Linked DNA regions of Saccharomyces cerevisiae S288C. The gene in region 2 interacts genetically with the main gene of each other region. Each region holds a gene or a part of one and is shown on either strand. Other genes may lie near its edges. The genes, in order: DBP3, REX4, SRP40 and RRP1.

Evidence for each region.
Region 1: mutations in REX4 (region 2) and DBP3 together harm fitness more than expected from each alone (negative genetic interaction), as found in Saccharomyces cerevisiae (3 studies listed by BioGRID).
Region 3: mutations in REX4 (region 2) and SRP40 together harm fitness more than expected from each alone (negative genetic interaction), as found in Saccharomyces cerevisiae (2 studies listed by BioGRID).
Region 4: mutations in REX4 (region 2) and RRP1 together harm fitness more than expected from each alone (negative genetic interaction), as found in Saccharomyces cerevisiae (2 studies listed by BioGRID).

Annotation. Positions count from the first base shown.
Region 1 is NC_001139.9:358,874-364,280, reverse strand, and holds DBP3 (RNA-dependent ATPase DBP3), read left to right. Parts: upstream 1-2,421; coding exon 2,422-3,993; downstream 3,994-5,407. Other genes in the region: HNM1 (Hnm1p), read left to right, coding at 365-2,056; KXD1 (Kxd1p), read right to left, coding at 4,181-4,837; pyruvate transporter MPC1, read right to left, coding at 5,253-5,407. UniProt on the Saccharomyces cerevisiae protein: ATP-dependent RNA helicase required for 60S ribosomal subunit synthesis. Involved in efficient pre-rRNA processing, predominantly at site A3, which is necessary for the normal formation of 25S and 5.8S rRNAs.
Region 2 is NC_001147.6:180,058-183,158, reverse strand, and holds REX4 (putative 3'-5' exonuclease), read left to right. Parts: upstream 1-1,731; coding exon 1,732-2,601; downstream 2,602-3,101. Other genes in the region: AVO1 (Avo1p), read right to left, coding at 1-1,477; Ras GTPase activating protein IRA2, read right to left, coding at 2,850-3,101. UniProt on the Saccharomyces cerevisiae protein: Exoribonuclease involved in ribosome biosynthesis. Involved in the processing of ITS1, the internal transcribed spacer localized between the 18S and 5.8S rRNAs.
Region 3 is NC_001143.9:610,444-615,732, forward strand, and holds SRP40 (Srp40p), read right to left. Parts: upstream 3,443-5,289; coding exon 2,222-3,442; downstream 1-2,221. Other genes in the region: PXL1 (Pxl1p), read left to right, coding at 1-623; DNA-binding protein SRL3, read left to right, coding at 1,082-1,822; PTR2 (Ptr2p), read left to right, coding at 5,287-5,289. UniProt on the Saccharomyces cerevisiae protein: Not known; weak suppressor of a mutant of the subunit AC40 of DNA dependent RNA polymerase I and III.
Region 4 is NC_001136.10:616,970-619,964, forward strand, and holds RRP1 (Rrp1p), read right to left. Parts: upstream 1,338-2,995; coding exon 501-1,337; downstream 1-500. Other genes in the region: translocon subunit SSS1, read right to left, coding at 1-201; mRNA splicing protein SLU7, read right to left, coding at 1,528-2,676. UniProt on the Saccharomyces cerevisiae protein: Required for 27S rRNA processing to 25S and 5.8S.

The DNA.
Region 1 (5,407 bases), on a different chromosome or scaffold from region 2:
TTCTGTTATTCACTAGTTTGTATATTGTACCTCTAATTTATCTTATAATTTCGTCAGTAATGACTTATAATTGGCTTTATTTTCTTCTCTTTTTTTTCACATGCGCAGAACCTATATAACGAAAAAAAAAAAAATGAAAACTGAAGATAAGCGGCCTTGACTTCTCTAAACTGCCGATATTTCAACGAAAGTTAGCCAACTTATTTATAAAAGCCTTGAATACCAACAATTGGAAAGAAGGTGTCTGTGCTTATCATATATAGCTTGCATAAAGAAAAATTATAATATCTTCGAACTTCCATAGAAAGAATATCTTTCAGTGTTAACTGGCTCATTTACTCAGAAATTAGTATTTTGAAGAACGATGAGTATTCGGAATGATAATGCTTCCGGTGGCTATATGCAGCCGGATCAATCTTCGAACGCTTCTATGCACAAAAGAGACTTAAGAGTTGAGGAGGAAATAAAGCCATTGGATGATATGGATAGCAAGGGTGCTGTAGCAGCAGATGGTGAAGTTCATCTAAGAAAGTCATTTTCGTTGTGGTCAATTCTTGGTGTTGGATTCGGTTTGACTAATTCCTGGTTCGGTATTTCTACATCGATGGTTGCAGGTATATCTTCTGGTGGACCCATGATGATTGTTTACGGTATAATTATTGTTGCCCTGATTTCTATTTGCATTGGTACCTCGTTGGGTGAATTATCTTCCGCATATCCGCACGCCGGTGGTCAGTTTTGGTGGTCTTTGAAGCTTGCCCCTCCTAAGTACAAAAGATTTGCGGCCTACATGTGCGGTTCATTTGCTTACGCAGGATCCGTGTTCACAAGTGCTTCAACTACGTTATCCGTTGCTACCGAAGTGGTTGGTATGTACGCTCTGACGCACCCTGAATTCATCCCAAAGAGATGGCATATATTCGTTTGCTTTGAATTGTTGCATTTGTTCTTGATGTTTTTCAACTGTTACGGTAAATCCTTACCTATCATTTCATCTTCCTCTCTATACATTTCCCTACTATCCTTTTTCACAATTACAATTACTGTATTGGCATGTTCTCATGGAAAGTTCAACGATGCAAAGTTTGTTTTTGCCACATTTAATAATGAAACAGGTTGGAAGAACGGCGGTATCGCCTTTATTGTCGGTTTGATTAACCCAGCTTGGTCATTTTCGTGCCTTGACTGTGCAACCCATATGGCGTTTGAAGTTGAAAAACCAGAAAGAGTTATTCCCATTGCTATCATGGGAACAGTCGCCATTGGGTTTGTCACTTCCTTTTGTTATGTTATCGCTATGTTCTTCTCTATACAAGATCTGGACGCTGTCTTGTCTTCTACAACAGGCGCCCCAATCTTGGACATTTATAATCAGGCATTGGGTAATAAATCAGGTGCGATTTTCCTGGGTTGCTTGATTCTATTTACCTCTTTTGGTTGCGTCATTGCTTGTCACACTTGGCAGGCAAGGTTATGTTGGTCATTTGCCAGGGACAATGGTCTTCCATTATCCCGTTTATGGTCGCAAGTTAACCCACACACTGGTGTACCTTTGAACGCTCATTTAATGTCATGCGCTTGGATAACCCTCATTGGCCTACTTTATTTGGCTTCCAGTACGGCTTTTCAGTCCTTAATTACAGGTTGTATTGCATTTTTATTGTTATCCTACATCATTCCGGTTATATGTTTACTTGCTAAAAAGCGTAACATAGCTCATGGTCCATTCTGGCTTGGAAAATTTGGATTTTTTTCAAACATTGTTCTTTTGGGTTGGACTGTCTTTTCTGTGGTCTTTTTTTCCTTTCCACCAGTTTTACCTGTGACAAAGGATAACATGAACTATGTTTGTGTAGTTATTGTTGGTTATACTGCGTATTCGATTCTTTACTGGAAATACAAGGGTAAGAAGGAATTCCACGCTTTAGAAGAATCTGAGAACGAACAGGCTGAATATAGTAATAACTTCGATACCATTGAAGATAGTCGAGAATTTTCCGTTGCGGCCTCTGACGTTGAACTCGAAAATGAACACGTACCGTGGGGAAAGAAGTGAATTTATAGTGTTGATCAGTCGACCGTTATTTATTTTAAGTATATTATTTGCATAGAAGTAATAAAAGTGAATTTTTTTTAATGGTTTGTTAAGCCATTTTAGACGAGGGACTAAGATATTTCAACCTAAATATCCCTCAGGCTTTGCGCTCTTGAAAGCGATGTGACTGTAATTCAAATTTCTTGAAATATTTTTGCGGGAAAAAGATGAAAAATTTTTCACCTCATCGCATAAGAAGCAAATAAAAAAAAAATATTAATAATAGATAGGCAACAATATAGCAGCTCAGAGATATAGCTTAACTTCATTTTACAGCCTTTTAACGAAAGCATAAGTATTAACAGTTTGATATATAGGGGATTAAAATGACAAAGGAAGAAATCGCAGACAAGAAGAGAAAGGTTGTAGATGAGGAGGTAATTGAAAAAAAGAAGAGTAAGAAACACAAAAAGGATAAGAAAGACAAGAAGGAAAAGAAGGATAAAAAGCATAAAAAGCATAAGAAGGAGAAGAAGGGTGAGAAGGAAGTGGAAGTACCAGAGAAAGAATCTGAAAAGAAACCTGAACCTACTTCTGCAGTGGCTAGTGAGTTTTATGTTCAGAGTGAAGCACTAACCAGTCTTCCACAATCTGATATTGACGAATATTTCAAGGAAAATGAAATTGCTGTTGAGGATTCTCTGGATCTAGCCCTACGTCCGCTATTATCATTTGATTATCTTTCTTTAGACTCTTCCATTCAAGCAGAAATTTCCAAATTTCCAAAACCAACGCCTATTCAAGCCGTAGCCTGGCCATATTTGTTATCTGGTAAAGATGTTGTTGGTGTTGCTGAGACCGGTTCTGGTAAAACATTTGCTTTCGGTGTTCCAGCTATCAGCCATTTAATGAACGATCAAAAGAAAAGGGGCATACAGGTTCTAGTCATTTCCCCAACTAGAGAACTTGCTTCCCAAATTTATGATAATCTGATTGTATTAACTGACAAGGTTGGTATGCAGTGTTGTTGTGTTTATGGTGGTGTTCCAAAGGATGAGCAAAGAATTCAGTTAAAAAAGTCACAAGTGGTGGTTGCTACACCTGGTAGATTATTAGACCTATTGCAGGAAGGATCTGTTGACTTATCTCAAGTTAATTACTTAGTATTAGACGAGGCAGACAGAATGTTGGAAAAAGGTTTTGAAGAAGACATCAAGAATATTATCAGAGAAACTGATGCGTCCAAAAGACAAACTCTAATGTTTACCGCTACCTGGCCAAAGGAAGTCCGTGAATTAGCTTCCACGTTCATGAACAACCCAATCAAAGTATCTATTGGTAACACGGACCAACTAACTGCTAACAAAAGAATTACACAGATTGTTGAAGTGGTGGACCCACGTGGAAAAGAAAGAAAGTTATTGGAACTGTTGAAAAAGTACCACTCTGGTCCAAAAAAGAATGAAAAGGTCTTGATTTTTGCTCTTTATAAGAAGGAAGCTGCTCGTGTTGAAAGGAATTTGAAATATAACGGGTATAACGTCGCAGCTATCCATGGTGATTTGTCCCAGCAACAAAGAACGCAAGCATTGAATGAGTTCAAAAGCGGGAAGTCTAACTTGTTACTGGCCACCGACGTTGCAGCAAGAGGTTTAGATATACCAAATGTTAAGACAGTTATTAATTTAACTTTCCCATTGACTGTGGAGGATTATGTCCATAGAATCGGTAGAACTGGTAGAGCTGGTCAAACAGGCACAGCACACACTCTGTTCACTGAACAAGAAAAGCATTTGGCTGGTGGACTGGTTAACGTTTTGAATGGTGCCAATCAACCTGTTCCTGAAGATTTGATAAAGTTCGGTACTCACACTAAGAAGAAGGAACATAGCGCTTATGGTTCATTCTTTAAGGACGTCGATTTGACTAAGAAACCAAAAAAAATTACTTTCGATTAGGGGTTTTTTCGTTTACTTCAATCTTGGATTTTCTTCTCTAATAATAGCCAATCGAGAGTCGGAGATTTATTAACAAAACACTGTATATTACTATTATAACTGCCCACTTTCATTTATCATTAATATTATTTAAATTGACTCTCACATAGTATACATATTTTCTAGAAAAAAAATACGATTCAGTATATCAGCAGTCATGGTCTTCATTCAATCTGCGCTCAAGAATTTTTTCTCTTGCCTGATTAAACTCTATGGGGAAATCGACACGCAAAGCAGCGTTTAAATAGTCGATGTTCTTTCTTGAAGTTTCTAAATCACGTTTTATTTTTTTTGAAGTAGCCTCACCATTTTCAAACTTCTCTTGCAGTTGAGTGAGCCTGCTCTTCATTTCATCAATATATTGTTTAAGCTCTAGGCTTTTCGAATTTATAACAGCGGAGGTTTTGGTCTGTAGAGAAAGTGCCTCTGAGAAATCAGCAGAATCAATAGATTGTTTTAGAGAATCAAAAATATATCTAGAAACGTCAAATATTGGACCAGGATCCTGGGCATCCGTGGGTAGCAAATTGCTTGACTGAGGGATATCGTTATCTAGGAACAAATCTTCGTCAACGTTAGATTCATTGTCCATTTCATTTTGCTCCACAACATCTGAAACGTTACTTCCATCACTATCGAAGCTACCACTTGAGTTGCTAGTGGTGCTGATCGAATCATGGAAAGAGCTGGACATTTCCTCTGTTATAGGAATCGCGTAGGATTGAGAATTAATACTGGGTGTTGAAGAATGAACAGCCGAAAAAGTCTCTTCATCATCATTTTCCTCCGATATTCCGGTCACCATTGTTCTTCACTAAGTGTTGGTAACCATTATTTTGCCTCTCTTATTATTTTACTATAATATAGCTGCGACTTTTCAGTGAAAAACGTTCTTTTTTAACTTTTTGAATGGCTGAATATAATCAGTAATACAAAGGAGATGAGAGGGAAATTGTCTTGGATATAAAAGAAATATTTGAATAAAGACATAATAATTATTTAGGTTATTTAGAATATGTCATCTTATGTAGTTTGGTTCAATACTAACTACTAAATAAAATGAAACTCATAGAGATAATGGTTCTATAGCATGCATATATGAAAAGGAGAAGAGGTAAAAATGAGAGAATATGCATGAACATATCCATCCTCTTAATCCTTGCTTGTTCTTTTTTATGTTTCCATCTAGTCACCTACTTCAGGTTCTTAGACTGCTCGTTTTACTGTTTACCAGTTTTTTCTTTCTCTTTCCATTCCTTATCTAGAGCTTTCTTCTCCTCATCTGTTGTGAAATACGTGTATTTGAGAAACCTATAGCCTTGAGCTAATTGCGCAGTTTCATTAATAAGGTGGCATCCAAACAGTAAGTAGTTTT
Region 2 (3,101 bases):
TGGAATGAGAGGGTATAGTATTAGTTTGCATGTCTGAATCAAGAGACATTTCACCGCTCTCCATGGTTGACGAGTCGTTATTAGAATAACGTTCTTCGGAATATTCAGATCCTAAAAGGGACTTCCCATATGATGAGCCAGGAGTGATTCGGTCACGATTTTGTGCATTGAATTCATTGCTATTACTGCGGCTGTCTTTTGAATCCCTGTTCATGACCGCCGTTCCATCATTTGTAGATTCATGTCCTCCCAAATCAGATACTGTTTTGTTTATGTTTGAGGTCACTGTATCAAAATTCAAATCATCTAAATCTTTTTCATTGATATAAGATTCCATATCGGAAATATTGTTGCTTTCCGTTTCCGTCAAACCGTCCCTACTCACCGATCCGTTACCGCTGGCGCTGCTTCCATCTCCATGTATACCTTTATTGGCATTCAGTGAATCAGATTTTTGTCCATCATTTTTATTGTCAGTTAAAAAAATTTTCCCCTTTTGACTTGTGGGGAAATGAGATTTTAACCTTGAAGCACTTCCTATATTGCCATTTGAACTCTCTCGATCATCAAGAATGCTGATGCTGTTTCTGTTATTTGTGTAGGTGTTGTTTTTATTGTTGGACATGCCGTTGATGCCTTTGTGGGCTGGACTTGCTCCAGAACCCTTAGCATCAAAATCATCATCTAACTGAAAAAATTGAGAGTGTATATCGTCACCTTCTTCGTCATCGTCGTCGTCATCATCTTCTTCTTCTAAGTTTTCATCGAAATCGAAGTTCATATCGAATTTACTGCCTTTCTTATTATGGCGAGCACCAGGTGGATGCAAAGTAGATGATTTTGCTCTTGTATTAGTTGTATTCATGACATTTTTATTTCCAGAAGTATTTGAGTGGTCCCTTCGACTTTTGAATATCCTCACGAAAGGAAGCGACGATCTCTTACTAGATTTCTTCTGCATTTCCATCGAACTATTTAAATATGAGTCTTCCTTTGAGGAAGTTTTGTGATGTTTTCCACTGGTATGGTCGTCATCATTTAAAAGAGAGTTCGACGCAGATGAATTAAGTGGATTATAACGAAGTGTTCCATTTTCTTCAACTATCAGAGTATTTTTTGCACTTTTATCTTGCAAATTTCGTGTTTCTTCCTCGTCTCTTTCAGTCTTCTCTGCTCCTATTAAATTCTGGTTAGCCTTTCCTTTTTGGCCTTCATTCTCCCTCATTATCCTCATTTTCCCTAATGAAGCATAGTTTTCCATAAAATCCTTAGATACCGGTGGAGACTCTAGTTCAGGTAACAAGCTTACGCCGTCTGAGTTCATATATAATTCACGGATAGAAGAATCTAAGCACTGCTCTGTGTTGAATTCATCTACGGGTATGTACGGTTTTATTATTCTTTTCATTTGATCTTTCTCCGGACACACTCGTAGAAACTGAGCCCGCAGTTCATTTAATACCGTCACCGTGTCCATTATCGTCTTATTATGGTGTGGTGGGGGTTTTACAAACACTGTTTTATTTAGTTTTCCTGTTCAGTAGCCTGTATCTATTGAGAATTATTATACCGTATATTTTTTGACGCGGGCTGATATGTAAGGTCGGCTAAAAAAAAGAAAAATTTCAAAAGTTAAACTAACCTCATCGCAACCACAATCCATTTAAAGCCTGGTTCTAGAGGCTTCATAGACGTTTACAGATTTAATAAAGTAGATAGCGTACAGTTTTAATGGCTCTCTCTTCAAACTGGCAGGCACTATTAGCCTCCGAAAGCAATCCTACCTCCAATGGAAAGAATAAGCAATCAAATAGGAAAATCAGAAACGTTAAGAAAGTTAGCAAAACAGTAAATGTCAGTAGTACAACCCAATATGCCCCTCGAAAGCGCAAAAACGGCAGTAAAATTATGGACATGGTATATAACATGAACAAGGAGATTAGTAAGCATGAGAAAGACAAGCTCGAGGGAAAAGTGTTTGAATTCAACCCAAATAAAGCAAATACTAGTACTACTATTAAAGAGCCAGTAAAAGTGGGTATTTCGGAAGATACTCGTATTAATAGTAATAAGAGTAAAGAAATTGGGAAATACATCGCCATGGATTGTGAATTTGTAGGCGTTGGTCCCGAGGGTAAAGAGTCTGCGTTAGCTAGAATATCAATCGTAAATTATTTTGGACATGTCGTCCTCGATGAATTTGTTAAGCCAAGAGAGAAAGTTGTAGAATGGAGAACTTGGGTTAGTGGTATTAAACCAGAGCATATGAAAAATGCCATTACATTCAAAGAAGCTCAAAAAAAGACTGCGGATATTCTGGAAGGTAGAATTCTTGTAGGGCACGCTTTAAAGCATGATCTCGAAGCATTGATGTTATCCCACCCAAAGTCACTACTCAGGGACACTTCAAGACACCTCCCATTCAGGAAGTTGTATGCTAAGGGTAAAACACCCAGCTTAAAGAAATTAACCAGGGAGGTTTTAAAAATTTCCATTCAAGAAGGTGAGCATTCTTCAGTCGAAGATGCTCGTGCCACCATGCTATTATATAAAAAGGAAAAAACGGAATTTGAAAAAATTCACAGAAACACTTTCAACTAAGACGGTAGATGAATGGCCCCTTTTATTCTTACAATTAAAATGCATTGGTATGTACATTAGTCTATGTGGCGCTTGAATTTACTGAGCCATTCATTACACGATAGAATATATAAAAATTGTAGCTGTATAAAAGCAACCCACGTAACAAATTGCGAAAAATTAGCGATAAGAAAACCCTAACATGAGATATGTACATTCATGCTTACAGATAGATATTGATATTTCTTTCATTAGTTTATGTAACACCTCTAAGCAGAACATGACATCCTTGATAAAATCATTGTCATTATTCTCTTACGTTCATAGATATCTTCAGGTTTTACATCTAAAGGTATCATCATGTCGGAGTTCTTCGCAAATATACCAGAAGAAGTCACAATCGATAAACCTCTTTTGGTTAGACGTTCAATGGATTCTTCGTGAAGTTTTTCTAACGAATTAGACTCTGAATGCGTCACTAATAAGTTTAAAATATCGAAAGCAAGTGGAACACAATCCGA
Region 3 (5,289 bases), on a different chromosome or scaffold from region 2:
AACTGCAGCATAAGCGCAACATAACAGATCTGAGAGAAGAAATTGATAATTCCAAATCTAATGACTCTCATGTATTACCTAACGGCGGCACTACGAGATACAGCTCTGATGCAGATTATAAAGAAACGGAGCCCATTGAGTTTAAATATCCGCCTGGGGAGGGACCTTGCAGAGCATGCGGCTTGGAAGTCACAGGGAAAAGAATGTTTTCCAAAAAGGAAAACGAACTGTCGGGTCAATGGCATCGTGAATGTTTTAAATGCATTGAATGTGGTATCAAATTCAATAAACATGTTCCCTGTTATATTCTAGGCGATGAACCATATTGTCAAAAGCACTATCACGAGGAGAATCACAGTATTTGTAAGGTTTGTTCAAATTTCATAGAGGGTGAATGTCTGGAAAATGATAAGGTGGAACGATTCCACGTGGATTGTCTAAACTGTTTCTTATGCAAGACTGCCATTACTAATGATTATTATATATTCAATGGGGAAATTCCATTGTGCGGTAATCACGACATGGAAGCTCTCTTGAAGGAAGGTATCGACAATGCTACATCAAGCAATGATAAGAACAATACTCTCTCTAAAAGGAGAACGAGGCTCATCAACTTCAACTAGCATCACTACCCATTTGTCTTTCCTAGCACACATGTTTCATAACATTCTTAATAAGATTTTGATTTTTTATATTATTAGCCAGCCTTGTTCATTTATAAATTGTATAGCGCAGGAAAAAGGCATCTGCCTATCTATGGTATCAACAACATTAGTCGTCATTAGTTAGTTAGTTATAAAGACATCATTCACTCATATTCACTACGTTGTCTTCTTCTCAACAACTACCTCTAACTGTTTTTTTACGCGTCATTTAATTGTAGCGAATTTCTATTTTTGGACATTCTCGTACCGGTGCATTAAAGGCTAAAAGCTAAAAAGGGAACAGGAGCCTAAGAATAGAGAATAAGGAAATTTATTTAAGGAAAGGCTAAGCAATGAAATGTTTCGTTATTTTATTGTATTTTCAAGAGGATGGAAGAAGAACCTGAGCACAAACGGATAAATAATAGACGAATATAATGTTTCTTAAGACACCTAATTGGGAAACGGTAAATGAGACTCCCAAATCGAGAGTCTTAACGATAAACGAATTGATCTCTCCCAACCTGGATACTGAATCTAACAGCCTTCTGGCGACGCCGGCAAGGAAATATTTCAAAACTTCAATAAGTGAAGCGCAAGATTCTCCTACATCTGCCCCTTCGCCCGATGGCAATGAGGATCCCACATATCAATACAACGTACAATTTCATTTTCCAGGACCAATAACACCTACAACACCCAGGTCTAAGAATGCAGAAATGTTTCCATCCCCCACGCCCCCATTGGTTTCTCCCACAGCGGTTATCGAGGAAGAGAATGACGATTCCGTACGGGAGTTTTCACGCACGCTAAAATCAAGACTCAACTGCGCAATGGTTAAGCTATCAAAGGAACATGAGCAAGTAGCTTTGATTCCTCCACCTCCGACGGAAAAGATACGAAAGGGCTCTTATAGTAATAAATTTGCCGCTAAGCATAGGCGCTGTCACTCGTTAGATGAATCCAAAAAGTTTCTGAGTTCTCTGGAAGATTCATCCGCTCATGCAGCGTTCTTGAAGGCAATTTCGTCCAAACATGCCAAAAGCAATAGGGTAGACAACGTTAACGTTTCGCCGTTACGTTGGTCATCTCATAGAAGAACGCAAAGTACACAGGAGAATTCTTTACAAGAAGTTGTTGCTATCGATACATTATTGAAGATGTCCTCATCGGACTGAACTAATGATTCGGGTTTCGCATATATACATGGCTTTGGCTACTTTTAGGTTTATAGTTCTTGCTGTTTATATCACTAATATTTAGTATATAGCTGCGAAGAAAGAAAAAGAAAATATTCACCTCTAGGAGCCAAAAACATAAAAAAAAAAATAATTAAAAAAAACTTTTATTGAATGCTTAATTATTTAGTGACGCGATTACCTATATACCAGGTTATTTATTTTTTCTTTTTTCAAAGGAAAACAATACAAAATATTACTGTTACCATTTTTGTTACTATTATTATTGTCTTTATTACTATTATTTTTCTATCGTTGCTATAATTACAATTTGTTTACTCTACAACTTAAAAGGAGATTACTCCAGACAACGAGTTTTGTTTTATGTTTCCTATTCTTTTAATCTTGGAATTTGTATGAACCACTTTCTAATGTAATGGATCCACCTCTGTAAGAACCTCTCTTCATTTTATTTTTGTTCTTCGTGAAATCTTTACCTCTTACTCTACCTAATTTTTCATTTGCCTTTTCACCCCATGTTCCAGCCGCGCCTTTGTAGGTGTTGTCTGTCAACTCCCAAGCTTCGAAATTAATCTTCGATCTATCTACTCTGGAAAAATGCTTTCTTTGGCCCTCTTTGATCTCGTCGGTTCCAGCAGGAATGTTCAATTTATTGGCGCTTGATGAACTGGAAGCAGATGGAGTTGATTCGTTAGATGAGGCAGGCGTTTCTTCGGCCTTGGATTCGTCTGCAGTTGCTTCTTTTGTTTCCAATTCAGAGCTAGAACCAGAGTCTGAGTCGGAATCCGAATCGGAGGAATCAGAAGATGTAGATTCGTCGGAACTTGAATCAGACGAGCTTGAAGAATCGGACGAGCCTGAAGAGTCTGAGTCCGAGCTTGAGTCGGAATCCGAATCTGAATCCGAGGAAGAGCTGCTAGAGCTGGAGCTAGAGTCGGAGTCAGATGAAGAGTCGCTGGAGCTGGAGTCGGAGTCAGACGAAGAGTCGCTAGAGCTGGAGCTAGAACTTGATTGAGAATCTGATTCAGAATCTGATTCGGAATCAGAAGAACTACTTGAGCTAGAACTTGAGTCAGAATCAGATTCCGAACCTGATTCTGATTCTGAAGATGACGATGACCCGCTAGAGCTTGACTCCGATGAGGAAGAGCTTTCTGGTTCAGTTTTAGCCTTTTTAGTCTCCTTAGCATCTTCGTTGTCTGATTCTCTTGCTCTTTTCTTGGTTTCATCTTCTGATTCGGATTCCGAAGAAGATTCGTCAGAACTAGAGCTAGAGGAAGAAGAAGATCCACTGGAGCTAGAGTCGGATTCACTAGAAGATTCAGAGTCACTGGAACTTGAGCTTGAGCTAGAAGAAGAAGATGATGATGAGCTAGATTCAGAGTCACTGCTGTCACTGCTGTCACTGCTGCTGCTGCTGCTGCTGCTGCTGCTGCTGCTTGAAGATTCGCCGCTAGAACTGGACGAGGAAGATGAAGAAGAAGAGGAGGAGGAGGAGGAGGAGGAGGAGGAAGAAGAAGAAGAAGATTTCTCTTCAATCTCCTTCTCCTTAACACTTAATTTTGGCACTTCGTCAACTTTAATTTTCTTGGAAGCCATTGCTATGTATTCTTAGTGTACTGCGACTTGGGTTTCTTTCTTGCTTTGTATAAAAGTGCGATGAGTTCAATCATCAAGTGAATTTTTTTTTTTCAGCCTGCATTGAAAAAAAAAAAATTGTATGCTCGAGCGATGGGAAGGTTTTTTCCTCTTCCCGTTCAAAGCTTCCTCGGACCAACTCCACTTTTTCTCGGCCCGTTGTAAAGAAATGGGTAAGAGAACTAAATTGCAATAAGCTTCGAATTATCGTTTTGATCCAGACATAAAGAGATGTACAAACTACAAAACAAGAGTAAAATAACTCGAACGAAGGGTACACCTTCTGTAATAAAACAAATTCACTATAACTGCCTTATTGGAGTGAAAAAACAAGATTATGTAGACCCCCTCTCGCGATAAAGAACATTAATGACTGCAACACCCGCACACCACAAGGTGAAGGGCAAAGGTGAATTAACCAAAGTGAAGAGGACGACGTAGAATCAACCAGGTATCCTTGATAAGGGGAGGAGTAAGAAAAAAGTGTGTCGAACGTAAATTTATGTGTCTAATGAAAGTATCTTCACACTAAGATTATAATTCTCCTTGGCAAAACAAAATGACACCTTTGTCCTGTTTTCGTTATCTACTTTTTTTTGTGTCAGATGTCATTTTGGTCTCCTACGCATCCACTACATCCTTGTCACAATTTGTTATCAGTAACCAACTTAGATGACTTGCACCAGCGCCACATCTTCGAAAGCGTTGAAACAAACTACGTAAACAAACAAAAAGTCAACATCCTGTAGATGTGGCTGCAAAACCACAGAATCCTCGTGTGGGAGAAAATATTGATAGGACCAGAGCGAACTTTTTTGATACAGACGTAGGAGGTAGCCGTTACCGCATTAGTATACTATATGCGTACGGCCGCCAAGAGCCCAAGAAAGAGACACAAAACTACGTGGGATAAGCTTGGGGTAACGCAATCAGTATTGTTCATTTTTTTTCCCGGAAAAGCTAAGAGTTTTCTGGCGAGATAAGATAACGGCGCCGAAGGCAGCGGCGAACTGACTTACCTCCGTCGGCTCCGGCGTACGGCACCAAAAAATCCCGCAATAACTTGACACCAATGGGCTAACGGCGTCCGCAGAACCGTGACGCAATCTGCGGTTTGTGTCAAGACAGAGAAGTGGGCTGCTTCTCCCCTTTCAACACTCCCCTCCCATGGCTGAATACTCAGACGTTTTCTGTGGTGGAAATGGCATCAAAAGTGCCACTGGCTGGCGAATCCAGACTATTTTGTGTCAAAGAAACATGCGTACCTGCACAATAAAAAGAAAAGGCCCGCCCTACTGACATCCTGTTCAGGATCCTCGAAGAACAGGAAAAAGGACAACCGTCCTTTTCACTTCACGTTCGCAGGGCTTTCCTCGATATAATGGCGATTACACAAGCGGTGGCGTCTTGAAAAAAGTTGGGTTTCTTATCTGTACGGCGATCACTCCCCTCATATGATAGCTGTGTAGAGTGACTTGCTCTTTGATTGGCCTTACTTCTTGCATCTATCATCCTTTCTTTTACTCTCTCCAATCACCACAACTCATATCATTCTACATTTCATTTTATTGTTCTGTACAATTTTTAGGTTTGTAAAATATATAAGTGATGTACATATCTTCTATATCCTTTCCGTTTGTGTCTATTTTAGGGTTGGCTTATTACGCATTATTCCTACTTTATTTTTACTTGCTTACTTGAAAAAGAAGGTATACCACAGTGCTGCTCCACTGCAAACAATATAAAATATTATCAATTATTTTTTTTTTTCTTCTTTTGAATTAGATCACTAATAAACTCTTATAATG
Region 4 (2,995 bases), on a different chromosome or scaffold from region 2:
GGCGTAACCAATGATACCGACTGCAATAAAACCAATACCAACAGCCTTGACAATCTTGGTGTATTCCTTCAAATCAGGTTTCTTACACTTGGCCAAGAATTGAGTACCTTCTCTGACAAATTCTACAGGTGCTTCAACCAGCTTTTCAACCTGGTTGTTGCTCTGCTTTTTCTCTTCACCTTTTTCACTAGCTCTAGCCATTTTATTTTTCAATGTTATACGTGATTTTATCTTTGGTAAACTAGCGTAGTGCGGACAATGGACACGAGTTATGGACAATACACGCCAATCTGTACTATTTTCCTTGTTTAATTTAATCACTAGTATTCTTTCATTTCAAAACGAAAAAAAAATAAAAAAAATGTTGCGAGGAAAAAAAGGCGACGTGTTTCGCATTCCGCCAATATCCACAGAGGGTAATGAATTTTTCGTACTATAGATATACAACTACAATTTATATGAGCGACTTACGATTACTTACATACTACCGCCAGGAAGAATCAAAATCCCTTCCACTCTTCCTCTTCCTCTTCTTCAGATTCGTTACTGGAATCATTATGTTGCGTTTCGCCTTCAAGAATATCCCAGGAAACAAGTCTGGTGTCACTGAATAGGTCTTCTTTGATCTTCTCTCTCAACACCTTACTGTTATTGTAATCTGCCACGATATCTTGGAAAATTGCGATAACATCGGCTAGTGGCGTTTTTTTTGCGCTCTCTGCAATTTTGCGCATCTCTTCCTCTTTGTTTTCCTCGTCTTCATCGTCTTCATCTCCATCTTTAAGCAATCTTTCCCATTCGTCCAGCAGAATATCGACGATATGAATTGGAATCCCTGTGTAGACCTTTGGACTTCCACTCAGAGGTAACCACCTCAACACTTTCTTAATATACTCGTCGACTAATTTTTTGTCCCAGTTTCTGGACTGCAAATACTTCAATTGACTGAATAATACCCTTCTTATCAATAGAAGATACTTATCCAACCTATATCTGTCAATGTTAAACCATTCAAAGCACATGACCTTCCAAAACCCTCTGCTAAACTTTATAAATGCTTTATCGTTTGTGGTCAACTCATCTGCAGTGCTATTGTCCTTAGGATCAAAATATAATCCATGCAATTCACCTAATTCATTGGCTAAACGTTGCTGAGGTCTAGGACGGTCACTGAACCACATTGCATAGTAAAGACCCTTCCAAAGTTTATTGAATTCTATTTGTTTGTTCTCCTTGAACTGTTTAGCGGTTAGATATTTCTTTAACGCTTCGAGTGCATTTACCCTGGTTTTTCTGTTGTTCGACGATAATTGTTTAACAAAGTTGGAGGTCTCCATTGTGAATGTTCTCACTCGATTTTTTAAGTGTCTATTTAGTGTATTATGCCGTGAATGCGCAAGATATATACGTATACTTAAGAATGTAGTTTATATTTGACAATTTTTTTCAGCTCATCGCATTTTTTTTTCTAAATTCTTTACCTCTCGTGCTCCGTGACTAGGATATTGGAAATTCAAATGATATAACTTAACCATATAAATCTTTTAAGTGGTTCCGTTGTTCCTCAGATTGCTTTGTACCATCTACTTTCCTAGCTTCCAGATCTCCAATGCTGACAATCTTGGGCTGCTTGGTTTCTTCTTGTTCCCGTTTTTTCTTCAGATATTCATATTTAGTAGGATTGGCGACTAAAACATGTTGTACTTTTTCCTTATCCTCAATTTCATCACGTATACCCATTTCCTTAGCGTGAGATCTAGCAAACTGGTTCAATTCGTTTAATTTTAGGCCTTCACCTGTCAAATGTCTGCGGAACATTTTTGATTTTTCATCAACTGCGCCCAGTGTTTCAGTTTTGTACAATCTTGATTTAGGATCATAATTACTCTCCGTTGAATTTATGTCGTTCAAGTAAGCAGCCTTATCTTCTCTCAATCTCGTTGATGTCCTATACAACTGAGAATTATCAGCATCATCTTTCTTCAATGAACCTACGGAATCCTTGTAAAGTTCTAACTTCATTAGTTCTATCTCTTCATCTGTATCCCATAGTGTTTCATCAGTTTGGGATTTGTCTTTTCCTTTTATTTTATTTCTTTTATCACGCTCCCACTTACTTATCAGTTCATTGTATTCTTTCCCTGAGTAACCGTACCATCTATCTTTTCTGGAGTCCCAGTCATCATCAGTAGCTCGTACTAAAACTGTGCCATTATTTTTTTGTGAATTTAAATCGGGAACAAGCTTCTGCATCTTACGAGGTTTTTCCATGCAGTCTTTCTCCTTATGCCCTGCTTCCCCACAATTCCTACAAAATGACAGCGAATGAGAATCTCGGACGGACATCTTCTGGGGTCTGATTAGTTTGAACTCATCCTTTATACCCATACCAATTTTTGGTTCTGAATTATTGTCAATATCTAAAGCACCCCCTTTTGCTTTTTGCCTATGATGCACCAAGTAGTCGCTTTTTTCTCCTCCTTCTGCAGTGCTCGTATCATCATTGCCGGGCTTCTTCCCTTCTTGTTCTTTGGGGGTATCCTTATAGTACCATGGTTGATTTCTAATATACCTGGGGATATGAATATTTTCATTTTTTTCTTTTGCTTGTTGTAGTTGCCTTTTATTTCTGTTAATAGTGCTTCGATTTTCGTTGTTTCTGCTGTTATTATTCATTATGTAATCCGATCGTTGTATTTCAGTGTAACTGGTATCTTTTTCAGAAGTGCTCGATAAATGATATACGCAGACTTGATTATTGATTTACTTGAAAGGCAAGCTATTCAATAGATAACGAAGGAGTTATCGTTATGGGTACTATTATTGTCTTTCCGCGTTCGAACTAGTCACTAGTTGTTCCAATGAAATGTACTTTAAAAAAACTCGACAACTTCTCCAATTAAATTGAAGAGTACGGCAGCTGAGGTTACCAACTCTTTTCTATATTTTAATTGTCACTAGGTATAAAAATCAAAAGTCTAGAAAAATGTATAAA